2 linked regions of the Pelodiscus sinensis genome follow. The protein of the gene in region 1 interacts with the protein of each later gene in a biochemical or structural test. Links are inferred from orthologs where the notes say so. Each region holds a gene or a part of one and is shown in the gene's direction. Other genes may lie near its edges.

Evidence for each region. The genes of interacting proteins can lie anywhere in the genome.
Region 2: the proteins of PELI1 (region 1) and UBE2V1 form a complex in vitro, tested with the Homo sapiens proteins (3 studies listed by BioGRID). The link is inferred for Pelodiscus sinensis from reciprocal best matches to the Homo sapiens genes PELI1 and UBE2V1.

What each region holds. Positions count from the first base shown.
Region 1 is NC_134713.1:184,653,219-184,661,038, forward strand, and holds the start of PELI1 (E3 ubiquitin-protein ligase pellino homolog 1), read left to right. Parts: upstream 1-4,774; 5' UTR 4,775-5,055; intron 5,056-7,820. UniProt on the Homo sapiens protein: E3 ubiquitin ligase catalyzing the covalent attachment of ubiquitin moieties onto substrate proteins. Involved in the TLR and IL-1 signaling pathways via interaction with the complex containing IRAK kinases and TRAF6.
Region 2 is NC_134728.1:19,378,287-19,385,690, forward strand, and holds the start of UBE2V1 (ubiquitin-conjugating enzyme E2 variant 1), read left to right. Parts: upstream 1-4,391; 5' UTR 4,392-4,525; coding exon 4,526-4,547; intron 4,548-7,404. UniProt on the Homo sapiens protein: Has no ubiquitin ligase activity on its own. The UBE2V1-UBE2N heterodimer catalyzes the synthesis of non-canonical poly-ubiquitin chains that are linked through Lys-63.

The sequences.
Region 1 (7,820 bases):
ACTACCAAAAGCATAGTTAGTTGCACTGCAATTCAAATTTATTAAATCATAATATTCAATATATAATATATTACATTTATTACAGGCAGTCCCCGACTTACGCGGATCTGACTTATGTCGGATCCGCACTTACGAACGGGGCTTTTCTCGCCCCGGAGCTCACGGGCGGCGGGTCGCCACCCGTGTCTTCCGGGACGAGAAAAGCTTCTCCCGGTCTCCCTGGTCTGCTGGGGGGGTCCAGCAAAGCCGCTGGACCCCCCCAGAGACCAGGGACACCCAAGCAAAGCCGCCGCCCGGGCGGCTTTGCTCGTTTGCCCGGGAGCAAAGCCGCCCAGGCAGCGGGACCCCTGCAGCCTGGGCGGCTTTGCTCCTGTCCCCCTGGTCTGCTGGGGGGGTCCAGCGGCTTTGCTGGACCTCCCCCCCAGCAGACCAGGGGGACAGGAGCAAAGCCGCCCAGGCGGCGGGGGTCCCGCCGCCTGGGCGGCTTTGCTCGGGTGTCCCTGGTCTGCTGGGGGGGGGTCCAGCGGCTTTGCTGGACCCCCCCCCCAGCAGACCAGGGGGACAGGAGCAAAGCCGCACAGGTGGCATCCTGCCGCCTGGGCGGCTTTGCTCGGGGGCAAAGGAGCAAAGCCACACGGGCGGCGGGGTCCCTCCGCCTGTGCGGCTTTGCTTGGCTCTCCCTGGTCTGCTGGGGGGGGGGTGCGCTAGTGTGCCCCCCCCCCCCCAGCAAACCAGGCTTTTGTTGCGGGACGCCTCGGGTAGAGCAGCTGGGGTGCTTCCCGGTTGGTCCTGTGGGAACCTACCGGGCAGCGCCCCAGCTGTTCTGTCCCAGGCTCCAGATTCAGCAGCTGTTGAAACTGATCAGGCTGATTCCAGGAAGCTGAGGGCAGAGCAACTCTGCCTCCAGCTTCCTGTAGTCAGCCCCTGGTCAGTTTCAGTGGCAGCAGCTGAATCTGGAGCCAGTTCCGACTTACATACAAATTCAACTTAGGGACTATAGGTTTGTTCTTATCTTGTACGTAACCCGGGGACTGCCTGTATATTATAATTATTCTTATTATTATTTGTGGTTGCACCTAAGAATGCCAGTCATGGACCAGAATCCATTTGTGCTATTACACAGGGTGGAAAACATGTAGTTGGAAAATATACAGGTGCTGGGTACGATTTTAATTTTTCTCCTTCAATTATTTAGTCAGGAGTTTCCTTCAGACAAAATAAAAGATTCTGTTTGACATTAATTATAGGACAAAATGTTCAAAGGGATTTTATTTATTAAAATTCAGATTTTGTTAGTGATTTTCTACATATAAAATAAAATTGGAAATTATTTATGTATTTTTAAATATATACAAGAAAGAGAAAATATGATCAGAGGACACTTTCAAGTTATGATTTCCTGATGCACTATTGCTTTACACTGGTGTAGAGTCATTTACTACTGGCCAAAATCAGTGTATAACGCTGCCAAAATGGTGGCCTTTCATAGCTTGGGTAAGTCACATCATCGCTCTGTGAATATGTATCCCTTCCAACCCATTGTTCCTTTTGTCTATTTAGATTGCAAGCTCTTAAGATAGGGGACTGTCTCTCATAATGTGTTTATACAACATCTCACAATGAGATCTCAACTGGGGAATCTGGTTTCTACTTTAAAGTACATAATTATTATTAATAATTGATATACATACATCAGCTGAGTTTTTGTGGGTGTATCATAAGCCCCACTTCAATGATCAGTTACTCGTCAGCTCATGCCACCGTCTCCGGTGTGGCTCATGGGAATTCTCATGCATCATTAAATAATCATTTAATAATTTTACTGTCTCTCTTTAAATATGTACGTCTCTGAAGATGTTGTTGATGAGTCACTGCTGGTGCTTTTTAGAGCTGGCTTCTATTTCCAATATGTCATTCATTGATTCATGGTGGGGTACCTACCCCATGTGATGCTGAAGAGTCCATTAGTAGCATTCCTGGAGCTGATCAGCTTTTTATTCTCACTCCGCAACTATAGGTAGATAACAGTTGTGGGATGTATTTTAAGGCTTTACAGGCCACACAGGGCCCTTGGGATGCACATTGTGTCTCCGTTGTGTCTCTGATTAACAGTATAGGGAAAGGAACCTATAAAATCTAATCATAATATTTTTCAATTTTATAGGGACTTTTGTCTGATGATCCCTAAACTTAAACATTGGGGTATGTCTAAACTACATCCCTTTTTTTATATAGGGCTGTAAATTAGACATATCGAAATGGCAAATGAAGCTGGGGTTTGAATTTCCCATGTTTCATTTGCATAATGGCGGCTGCAGCTTTTTTTCGAAAAGCTGCTTCTCGGAAAAAAAAACGCGGTCAGGACGGGGATCTTTCGACAGACTCTGTTTCGAGAGATCCTGTAACCCTCAAAAAATGAGGTTTACAAGATCTTTCGAAACATGACATTTCTGTGGAAAGATCCCCATTTTGACTGCATTTTTTTCCCGAGAAGCGGCTTTTCGAAAAAAAGCCGCAGCTGCCATTATGCAAATGAAGTGTGGGAAATTCAAATCCCGGTTTCATTTGCCATTTCAATATGTCTAATTTACATCCCTATATCAAAAAAGGGATGTAGTTTAGACATACCCTTAGGGTACATCTACACAGCAGTCTTATTTGAGAATAACTGGCGTTATTCCAAAATACGATAGTGTGCATCTACACTACAAGCCTTTATTTTGAATTAATGCTGAGCTGAAGGACTTCTTATTCTGACTCATGGTAACCCTCATTTCACGAGCAATCAGGGAAGTCAAAGAAAGAGTGTTCTTCCTTTGACTTCTTGTTGTGTAGACAGCACCAAAAGCCAAATTAAGCTATTTCGACTTAAGCTATGCAATTGGCATAGCTGAAGTTATGTAGCTTATTTCAACATTAGCCCTGTGTGTAGAAGAACCATTATCGAGCCTCATGACCCTACTGTCAGGGAGGTAAGTGTTGTTCTCGCCAGCTTTGGATGAATTATGACACAGCTAAGTTAAATGATCTGCTGTTCTGGACTGTTTTCTCTGGAATTGTCCTCATTTCAACAAAGCAACCCAGGGCTCAACAGAGTCCTAAAATTACTACTGAGAGCCACATGGCATCATCAACACATGATTAAGTCTGTGTCATAGCGTTGCATTTGCCTCAGAAGTGAGTAGGTCATTTTATATCCAATCCTTGCTTCCCAGCAGTTGGATTCATAGCTTTGCCATGGACTTGTATGACTTCGGACAAGTCAGTTGCTTTGTCCCTGTTTCCCACTCTGTAAAATAGACATCCGAACACTCAGAGTTCAAGTGACCACCTTCCTTTCAAGGAAATTACAACTGTATGAAAATAGGAACTCTCCCCTCTCTGAAGCCTACACCCAGACCTGATTTATTTCCTTTTTTAAAATCTCATGATTATCCAGTCAATTGTGATGGTTTTAGTCTTCTCACAATCTTGGAGCACTTGACTTTGGCAATGCTGCTTCAATCAGGCAACTCTAACCGGTAGTTGTTTTGCAGTGTATTGCTGACTCTCATGGGCAGATGCACTCAGCTAGCACAGTATCAGACTTCCCAGCCCATTGCCCCGGCTTCCCTGAACAGATGCAAGTTGGATACAAACAAGAGGAAGTCTCCTTTTTCACCCAGGCTGGGTCTCCACTAGGGGATAAGTTCAAACTAAGATACACAACTCCAGCTACATTAATTGTGCAACTGGAGTCAAACTATCTTAAATTGAGTTTTGGTGCCATCCATACCGAGGGAGGTTGATGGGAGCACATTCTCCTTTTAAGGAGTAAGGGAAATCATAGGACCAGGACTACTGCGCTCAATGGGAGTGCCCTCTCAGTTCAAATTAGTGTGTCTTCACTAGACCTGCTAATTTGAACCCTGGAAGATTGATTGTGGCAGCTTCAATCTTTTCTGTAGTGTATTTCCATGGGCTATTCAGAAGCAGATTAGGGATTTCTGGGGCCCTGAGCTAGAGCAAGTGGGGAGGCCTCACAACCCCTTCCACCTTTAGTCCTATCCTCCCACCCTGGTCCTTATGCAGAAGCACTGGAAGGGCAGAATGGATCAGGGCACAGGAGAGCCCATTTTTCCAGGCCCCAAGTTGGCTGGGGCACATACCCTGCTGGCCCAGAAGCTAATTTGCTACTCCAGTTTCACAGAGGATACACTACCGGCTATGGTGCGGGGCACAACCTCATCCGAGTTAGAGGGGCAGCTCTCAGCCTCTGACTGCCAGGAGTGGGGAGTGGAAGAGGAGATGGATCACTCCATCCTTGCCCTAGGCTATTCTGTAGGTTTTCCTGAACCTCTGGCACGGGCAGGGTGGGAGCCAGGCTGCTGGGCTAGCGGACAATGGCAACTGGTGCTTGCAGGGAAGGGGCATGCAGGGGCACCCCTCTTTGCAATTACAATTTTGGCAGGGGCATAGGAATGGGTGAATCTCCCCAGCCAGCTATCAGGTCGCCTAGGCTAGCTAGTCCATGGCCTGATGATGCCCTACAGTCTGGCAGACAGCTCCTAGGCTCAGCCAGCGCTGCACCCCGCCGCCCACGAGGCTGGGAAGGGGGGAGCCAGCTAAGCAGCCCTGCATGGCGCATGGCCCAGCAGCATACCGCCTCCCCTCGACCTGCGCGGGCAGAGCACCGGGGAGTTGAGCTGGGGAGGGGTGGGTAAAGAACTACAATTCCCATGATCCCCCTGCGCGCTGCCGCGGGGTGATGAAGTCACCACGCCCCGCCCACCCGCCGGAGTGTTGGAGCTGCCGCTGCGGGCCGCCGCGGAGCCAGAGCGTTGGAGGCTCGTTGGCGGTTGGCTGCTCGCGCTCGTGTTCGCGATCCCGGCCACAAAGGGAACTGCTCGCGTCGCGCCGCCGCCGCCCTGCCGCCTGAGGGGAGGCGCTTTGGGCTCCGCGCCCCAGCCCGTCGTGGGTTCCTCTCCCTCGCGGGGCGTCTGTGGACCCGGAGCGGCGGGGCAGCGCCTCCGGCCGCGGGGGATCGCCACGGTCGGCGCCGCTGGTTTGGCCCGGGTGAGTCTCGCCGCTGTGGGCCGGTGTGTGGTAACCGGGGGGTGGGGGGGGGGCAGAAATCCCCGCCGGGTCTCCCTCCCCCCCCGCGTCCTGCGCTGCGTTCTCCTGCTTGGCACGTCGGGGGGTGTCGTGTCCACCCCTGCCTGTCCGCGCCGGGCTTTCAGTGCCCCCAACGGGCCATTCCCGGGCCCCGTCCGCCCCAGCCCCTCCGCTGGGTGCGCGGCCCTGGGTCGCCGAGCCCCTCTGGCTCCCTTTTTAGTGTCTTACAACTTTATTTAGTTCTTGTCTCCCCCCCCCCCCCCCCGAAACTAGACGCGTCTCCCGAGCTCTGACTTCATTTCCTTTAGCCCAGGACCCTGTTTCCACACCGCTCCGTGGAGCGGCTGGGGAGCAGAAGGGTCAAAACAAAACAAAGGGGCTTTTGTGGGCCTGGGTTAAACTCGTAAGTCGTGGCGTTTCCTAGATGACACAATAGTTTCCCTGCTGTTTACTGGGGAGGAATCCCCATAACCAGTCTCCAAAAGTCAGTTGAAATGTGTGTTGGATTATTTCTAAGCTCTCTCACAATGTCTGTGTTGTAATAGTTTTCTGTGCCTTTCGCCTGTGTTTTGTGGCTCGTTTAAAGAGGATCTATGAGCCAACACAAGTTTAGTTTGCTAGCAGAAACAAAATTGTGTAACCCATGTCCCCACGCTCTTTACAGGGGTAAGCAGTGTATTTGCAAAGGTAAAATAATAGCTGGGGGACATGTATTAAAAAAAAGATTAATTTCAAAGGCAGAGGAGAGTAAGAACAGCTATATTTTCACATGTGATTCTTTCCCAGGCCCCTCCCCCCATGCCAAAAATCTCTTAACTGGGTAGAGTGACCTGTACTTTCATGCTGATTGTGTGTTTCTTTTAAGTAAATGTGACTCAAAATCTATGGTTACATGATCTGTGCTACACAGAGTTCCGTGTGTGTGTCTACGCCTGCTGTACTTCAACAGTAGTACTTTGTATTTTCAGATTACATTCAAAGGCCTTCGATTTTTTTTTATTGAACTAAGTGTTTAAAATCCACCGCTCTAAAATTTTGTAACTTTAGTTGGCGATAGACTGAACTACAGAGGTTGCTTCTGAATGTGCTCAGCAAAATGACTTTTTCCTAAATCATGAATTTGCAAGAGGGTGCTGGGTGGGAAAAGGTTGTTTCCTGTTTTTGTGAATACAAAATGTTGCAAAATAGAAAAGATGTAATGTCCTGTTAAGATGATTGGGTCTTTAGCACTTTGTATGCTGTAGATGTATTAGGGGAGACCTACCCTGAAGATTTCCTATGCAAGTTTCCTGGATTATTTTTATGAATAGAACATAGTTCCTATTATGATATTTACAAAATGTGATCTTTTTTTTTTTTTTTTTTTTTTATTTACAAGTCTTCTAAGTCAATTTTCATATGTGATCAGTGATTGTGGTTGTTTCAATTTTGGGTGCCTAAAATAAGGATTTGTTTGTTTGTTTTTTAAAGGCCTGACTTTCAAAAATTTCTGAGTACCCATTGTTTGAAAGCAAGGCCCCTTTTTGAGGCTCAGGTTTGGCATCTAAAATCACTAGTTACTCATGACAGAAGCACATAATATGGTTGTTAATTAATTTAATACCCAAGAATGAGCCAGCAAAGAAATTTAGTCTTAATGTACCAGTTTTAAAATTTTATTTTAGAGGCGATAGAGTATCATGACTGTTGTTTTGGGAAAGTGATTAAATGAGGGAGGGGACATTAATCGGATATAACTTGATATAATTATGTAGCTAAAGTGTTTGGCTCTAGAGGAGGTACAGCAGGTCAGTGATCTGGGAATTATTTCAGGGAAGTTCTGTATTACCTGTGTTAAACTGGAGACTAAATTAGATGATCACAGTAGTCCATTCTTGCTTTGAAATCTATTAATTGTGCTAGCATTTTACTTCTGAGAAGAGTTCAAAAATAATTACTGAAATTCCAAATAAAAATGAGTTTGCTTAGTCTTCTCATAATCCTGATTTCAGTATATTATTAAACCATTATGCAGTTCAGCATCAGTCTTATTTGCTGCTTCTGTCAAGAAGTCCAGAACTAAAAACAGGACTGTATAATAGTCTGAGGGGTAGCTGTTACTCTGTAACTAAAACAAAAAAAAACTTAAACCCCACACTGGTCCTATATAGCACCTTAGACTAACCAAAACGCGCACAGATAGTATCTGAAAAAGTGAGTTGTGCCCACGAAAGCTCATAACTATCTACACATCTTTTGGTTAGTTTCTAAGCTGCTACAAGACCATTGTTTAAGGTTTTTTTTTAGGACTGTATAATGTCAGGATTGCGGTACAGTGGTAAAGTTTTGTACGACAAGTGAGCCCGGTATCTGATTTAGTCTGAACAATATTTATACCTCCTTTAATGAATAGTAAATCTAGTCCTAATAGTTTCTCTATAATGGAAGAAAAGTCTTGTTTAAAAAGAATTGTGGAATACAACAGGGAATCTAGTTTGAAAACTAAGGCCATGTGTAAACAACAAAATTACTTCAACCTAAATAAAACATTTGTGTGCACACACACTTGGCTTCTTGCTTTGCTGTTGTGTGTCCTCACCTAGAACACTTTATTATATTGTGGAGCATTGTGGGATGGCTTGTGAAAGCCAGTAACAGTTGATGCAATTGACATGCTAAGCTGACACTGCATCAACTTAATTACATTGAGTGTGATCCTACATCACTGAGGGAGGTAATGTTACTAA
Region 2 (7,404 bases), on another chromosome or scaffold:
GGCATGATAAATCAACGGATGAATGCTCTCCTAGCCACTCTGAGAACCAGTCCCATTAAGTAGTCTGTGAATACAATATTTCATTTATACTATTATTAATCATGTCAATTATCACTATTAATAGAATATTTTCAGTCCTACAAATGGGCTCTTTGTTGACCACTTGTTCTGAATTTTGATGTAGTTTGGCTCTTTGGTTTGAAAAGGCTGCTGACCCCTGCTGTAGACTTTAAGGTCAGAATTTACCATTGTGGTTATCTAGTCTAATCTGCACATTGCAGGCCATAGAAACCCACCCACTTCTGTAATGGACCCCTAACCTTTGGCTGAGATAATGAAGTCCTCAAAACCTGATTTAAAGAGTTCAGGTTTCTAAATACATAAACATTTTCACTTCATTTTTCTGATGTCAAGTGTGCTACCTGCTGCTGAGACAATCTAGATATGAATTTTCTGGAATGAAAACACACACTCTCACTTCCCTTCTAAAATTAGCATGTTGTCTGATTAATGTAAAAGTCTAATGATGGCTTATGGCCAGTAAATCCTAGAGGAAAGTAGAGTCCAGTTTACCATCACTTACCTGGGGCTTCAGGTTCAATATCATCCAGTGCAATTGGCTGCTCTGTGTCACCCCACCAAGCTATAGAGAGGACATAACTGACCCCAGGCTGCAAGCCCAAATTGCTCCAGTAGCATACAGTCTGAGGTTCTCAAGTATTTTGCCACTAGAAGATTGACCTGGCATTGCTTGGGTCCTTCACTCAAAATGTTTTCTTTTTCTTCATTTAAATAATTGCTGTGGGATGGGTCTGGGGATGAAGGGTTCAGGATGCAGGCTGCCCCAGGGAGAAAGGACAACCCCAGCTCTTTGACTGCAGCAGCTTGGGGCCAGGTGAGAAGTGCCTATCTGTGGCTGTTGCAGCGGGCACCACCGTGGAGGAGTGCAAGTCCCCCAAGTGAGGGACAGACGCAAACAAACTTTCTGAGAGTAGGATAGCTCTCCTTTCTCCCACCCATGCTCTCTGCTGGCTTAATGGGGTTATAGCAATTCTTGTCCCCGTGCTCTGTCTCTGTTGTCATTCTGCAGTATAAATGTCCCTCTTACCAGTCTCTTCCTTTTTCCATTTTATGAGAAACCATTGAATTCCAGGCACATCCCATTGCCCTGGCACAATCAAACCCTGACCTAGATTTAAGTTATGATAGGAGGAAGTTGCATACCAAAGTTGATGGTTCTGGCTCGCTGCTTAGGAGATATTCTTGAACAAATAGACTCACGGATGGACAGACACACAAACTCTCTAAAATACATAGCAGATAATACTCCATTTTTACAACCTAGGTAAATGAGCTCAAGCCCCAGTTTTTGTGTGCTGGAGATGATATTCATATATATGGACTACTGGTGAAATGCTAGAATATGGGTATTCTATATCCTTTCCTTGACATATTGCAGTGAAAAGGATGAGCTTAGGGCAATCGTGGCATGGGCTACTGGAGCCTTGGAGAACATTTGTTTGGTGCAACCTGTAGCAGGTGCCAGCCCTGCTTTCCATCCTTTGAGCCTTCTGTTCCCACCAGCCCATTACTGTCTGCAGTCTCCTGCAGTCTGTTCCACTGAGAGCCCTCTCCAGTTAACCACTGTGGTGCCCTGTCATAGCATATTTGAGTTCCAGATACCAGCATTGTTCCTGTATGAGGTGCATCATGTGCACATGACTTACTTAACCACATCCTTTTATCTGTGCTACCTGTTTCCTGCCCTATGATTTTGTTATCTCCTCCTATGCTCTGTCATGTCTGAAATTTGGCCGTTAGCACTCTGAAACCGGGAGCTTGTGTTTTTAATCAATCTTATAGACATGTGGGACACATTGGGAGGATGCAAAATAATACACAGCAATACTACTACTGTAATTAACTCTATAGAGATGCAGGGGTTGTAGTAACCTAGAGTGTCCTCTATAGCTGTGTTAGTCTGTAACTTTAAAACAAAATACAGGACTATGTAGCACTTTAAAGACTAACAAGATGGTTTATTAGATGATGAGCTTTCGTGGGCCAGACCCACTTCCTCAGATCAAATAGTGGAAGAAAATAGTCACAATCATATATACCAAAGGATACAATTTAAAAAAAATGAACACATATGAAAAGGACAAATCACATTTCAGAACAGAGGGGGGATGCGGGGGGGGGGGGAAGGAAGGTGAATGACTGTGAGTTAATGATATTAGAGGTGGGGAAGGGTAGATGTCTGTGAGTTAATAGTATAGAGGTGATAATTGGGGAAGCTCTTTTGTTAGTCTTTAAAGTGCTACATAGTCCTGTATTTTGTTTCAGCTACACCAGACTAACACGGCTACATTTCTATCACTATGTAACTTTAAAAGTGAGTAGTCTGTGGCACATCAGAGCAGGGGTGGGGAACTTCAGGCCTGGGGGCGGATGTAGCTCCTGGCTTGCCTGGATGTGGCCCTCAAGGCTCAGGTCTCACTGAGCCCATGCTGGTGTTCCAGCCCTCTCCTCCTGTCCCCTCTTCCCTTCCCCCCCCCCACCACTGTAGGGCTGAAGCACACAAAATCTACTATGCTGACACCCCCCGCCCCCTGGCTCTGGTGTGGGAGGAGAATGTGGAGAGTGTCTTTCTCCTTCTCAGTTGGGGACTATGTCTTTTGTGTGTGGCCCCCTGATTTTTCTGGGGTTCAGTGGCCCCTGACCCCAAAAAGGTTCCCCACTCCTGGCTTAGAGACTAACAAAACTATATAGGATCACTAGGGGGCAGTGCCCCTCCCTGCTCGCTACATTTGCCAACCTGCCTCTGTGCGGGTCGGCAGCCCCTGCCCTGGTTCTCCCTCAATCCCGGCCACCAGAGGTTGGGCTGGGCTGAGGACATGGCTGGCCCGGCTCTCTTCCCTCTGGCTGCTGGGGGGTTGGGCAAGGCCATGCGACTGGCCTGGCTCTCTTCCTCCTGCCGTGAGGCGGGAGGGTATGCAGCTGCCCCGGTTCTCTCCCTCCGGCTGTGAAGGGGGAGGGCACATGGTTCACAGCTCTCCCTCCCCGTAAGGGTGGAGTGCTCGTGGCTCTGGGGGAGCAGCACGATTTAAAACTCCAGCAGCTGCCCGCAACATGGTGGCTGCCAGAGGTACAGCCAGCCCCAGTCACAACTCAGGGCCAGGGTGTCCCACAGTCTGGGCCCCACTCCTGCAGCAGGCCGTTCTGCTGGCCCCCTCACCCGCTGCTGGAGCACCATAATTTTCCTCCTTCCCCCACCCCACACAAGCCTAGCAGCAGGAGCAGCTTATCTTCAGTGCTGCTGCTGCCTAGGAGCCATAGGTTGCTGATCCCTGCCGGGTTAGCAGTGGGGAGGAGGGAGGAAAGTAGGAGGCGGGGTGGTGGATGATGTCATGTCACTCAGTCATCCCACAGCAAAATATATATATATATATATATATATATATATATATAAATAAAAGATGAGCTTTTGTGAGTAAAACCTGCTTCATCAGATACTGTGGTGGTGGCTGGAGGTGGTAGGCCAGGGACCCTAGTGTGAGGGGGACTGTGGGTCCCAATTCAGGCAGATGAGGTTCTGGGAGATGACTCATCTGATGAAGTGGGTTTTACTCATAAAAGCTCATGATCATATTTATAGATTTTAATAGTCTCATAGCTATGGGCGAGTAGATTACACTAATTGTTGAGCCCTGCTCATAGCACCATCTAAACGTTTTGTTAGTCTTTAAAGTGCTACTAGACTATTTGTTGTTTTTTAAGTTTTTCCTGTTACTGATTAACTGAGCTACGCCTCTGAATCGTTAGTATCTGAGATGCCACAGGAGTACTTATTGCCTCTATCGATACAGGCTTTGTTCCCTTATGTATGGTAGCTGCACTATCCCCTGCTCACTGGGGTGCTGATGATGGAAACCATATATTTTGGGTTTATTACAATTTCAAGCCAGAGGCCTGCAGCACTCCTAGTTCCAATACCACTGCCTATAGATGCCAGTACAGATATTCCCTTCATCCCTGACAGATTGCTGTGGTGCACTTATCTCCCCTATAGAGTCCATGCTCTCTCTAGTCTGCTGCCTGCAGTAGGTATTAATATACCTATCTCATAGGGCTTGAAAGGGACCCTTATGGCAGGGCCAAGTACTATACCATCCCTGACCAATTTGCCCCAGATCCCTAAATGGCCTCCTCAAGGATTAAAGTCACAAGCCCGGCTTTAGCAGGCCAATGCTCAAACCACTGATCTCTCCCTCCCCTGTCTAACAACTTGTTCTGAAACTCACATACAGCACGCCCGACCGCGGGTCTAATTTCCCACCCACGATATCTGCCTCTAGAAATCTAGCTCCCACGGGTCAGCCCGCCCAGCTCACCGGTCCTTTCTTCCTGCGCCCGCCTGCACCGCCTCCCGTCAGCCCCCGGACTCGCTTACCGCCGCACTTCCCGCGTTACGGTGACGTGGGCGGGAGGAAGGCCGGGCTAGTCGGAGCGACAGCGGCGCAAGATGGCGGCCACCACGGGCTCGGGTGAGCGGGGCTCGGGTGGCCGAGGCCGGGCCGGGGAGGAGGGGCTCGCCGCCGGAGGCGGGGCAGCTGGTACCGGCGGACGCGGCGGTGACCGGCTTTGGCCCAGCGGGCTCCCGTGAACGGGGGCTCGCCGGCGGGGCGTGTCTGCTGGGGCGGCGGCGGCTTAGGGGCGCTAGGCCGGGAGCCCCAGTCCGGGCGTGTGAGGTTCCGAGCGAAGAGGCCCTGGGGGTGTCTGGGGACTGCAGGGGAAGGGTGACAGTGGGGTGCCGGCTGGAGATGGGGGTGCTGGGCTGGAGGGGGCTTCCTTGTGTGCTGGGTGCGGTGTCCATGGGCAGAAGGGCGTTCTGGGGGTGCTGGGCTGGAGGGGGCTTCCTTGTGTGCTGGGGTGCAGTATCCATGGGCAGAAGGGCGTTCTGGGGGTGCTGGGCTGGAGGGGGCTTCCTTGTGTGCTGGGTGCGGTGTCCATGGGCAGAAGGGCGTTCTGGGGATGCTTGGCTGGAGGGGGCTTCCTTGTGTGCTGGGGTGCAGTATCCATGGGCAGAAGGGCGTTCTGGGGGTGCTGGGCTGGAGGGGGCTTCCTTGTGTGCTGGGGTGCAGTATCCATGGGCAGAAGGGTGTTCTGGGGGTACTAGTTAGAGGGGGGCTGCCTTGTGTGCTGGGGTGCAGTATCCATGGGCAGAAGGGCGTTCTGGGGGTGCTGCCTTGTGTGTCAGGATGGGGCATTTTCGAGAACAGGGAGCATTCTGGATTCCATAACCTAGAGGAGGAATGCCATGTGTGCCAGGCTGGGTGTCTTTGCAGGGGATAAGGTTATGGGAGTACCAGGCTGAGAAATGGCAAGATGGTAGGTTGTCGGGAAAACCAGGCTGGAGGAGAATAAGGATGACTTGTTCCAAGTTGGGAGGATGTTCTTGACTGCTTCTCCTTTACCCTTAACCTGATTTCTTCTTCTCAAGCATTCAACCCTACTTTGTCTTTTATTCTTTCTGGCTATGTCTAGACTGGCCCCTTCTCTGGAAGAGGCATGCAAAGTAGGCAAGTCAAATAGGGAAATCCGCGGGGGATTTAAATATCCCCCACGGGATTTAAATAAACATGGCCGCCGCTTTTTTTCCGGCTTGGGGAAAAGCCGGAAAAGAGCGTCTAGACTGGCGCAATCCTCCGGAATAAAGCCCTTTTCCAGAGGATCTCTTATTCCTACTTGCAAGTAGGAATAAGTGATCCTCCGGAAAAGGGCTTTATTCCGGAGGATCGCGCCAGTCTAGACGCTCTTTTCCGGCTTTTCCCCAAGCCGGAAAAAAAGCAGCGGCCATGTTTATTTAAATCCCCTGCGGATTTCCCTATTTGACTTGCCTGCTTTGCATGCCTCTTCCGGAGAAGGGGCCAGTCTAGACGTAGCCTCTGAGTATATTCTTTCCAGATTAAAAGGGCTGTTGGAATAAACCTGAAGTTACTGAAGGTTGGTCGTAATTGGGCATTTGTATTGTCATCATAGTTATGAAAGTGAGGGGTGTAAAAAATCTGTGTACTTGAGAGACATAGCTATACAGGCAGTCCCCGGGTTACGTACAAGATAGGGACTGTAGGTTTGTTCTTAAGTTGAATCTGTATGTAAGTCGGAACTGGCGTCCAGATTCAGCCGCTGCTGAAACTGATCAGTTTCAACAGCGGCTGAATCTGGATGCCAGTTCTGGCTTACATACAGATTCAACTTAAGAACCCCAGGTGTCCCCAAGTCAGCTGCTGCTGAAACTGATCAGCAGCTGATTCCAGGAAGCCGGGGGCAGAGCAACTCTGCCTCGGGCTTCCTGTAGTCAGCCGCTGGTCAGTTTCAGCAGCGACTGACTTGGGGACGCCTGGGGCAGAGCAGCTGGGGTGCTGCCGGGTTGGTCCAGTAGCGCCGAGGAGCGGTGCTGCGGGACCAACCCAGCAGCGCCCCGGATGTTCTACCGTGGGCAGAAAAGCCTGGTCTGCTGGGAGGGAGGGGGCACTAGCTGAGCCCCCCCTCCAGCAGACCAGGGAGACGCGGAGCAAAGCTGCGGAGGAAGCCTGCAACGGGACAGCCCAGACGCGCCGCTGCTGTCCCACTGCGGGCGGCCTCCGAGGCTTTGCTCGCCGTCTCCCTGGTCTGACCAGCAGACCAGGGAGACGGGGAGCAGCTTTCCTCCCCCCGGAGGACACGGGTGGCGGGACCGCTCCCGTCCTCCGGGGCAAGAAAAGCTCTGTTCGTAACTGCGGATCCGACATAAGTCGGATCCGCGTAACTCGGGGACTGCCTGTACTTATTTACTGTCTGCTCCTTCCCCCCTTCATGTGGACATTGCTAGGTTGACCAAAGAATTCTTGTTTCAGCCTAGCTACCACCTCTTGAGAGATTGCATTACCTACGCTCCTGGGAGAACCTCTCCTGTTGATGTAGGTAGTTTCCCACTGGGGACTTGTCTACATGTAAGATGATACAGTGGCACATTGCACCACTGTAGTGCATCAGTATAGACACTGCTTACACCAGTGGGAGGGACTCTCCTGTTGGTGTAGTTAATCCACCTTTCCAAGAGACAATAGAATTCTTCCGTCAAAGCAGCACTGTGCATATGAGGATTTCGTTCGTCTTAACTATGCATAGCTGAGCTGAGTTAATTTTTTAATGTAGATTAGGCCTGAAGAACTAGAGGGGCACAATCACAATAGTTTAAATATACTCTGAGACATTTCAGCATAGGAGAGCATGGGAGAAATGGATTTTTTTAATCAAAATACACTTTTCACTAGGATAATAAAATCCATCCAAACCCACCTATGCAAAATTAATTGTAACTCTGGTAGATTTCAGTGTGGTATAGTTCTTTAATGACCA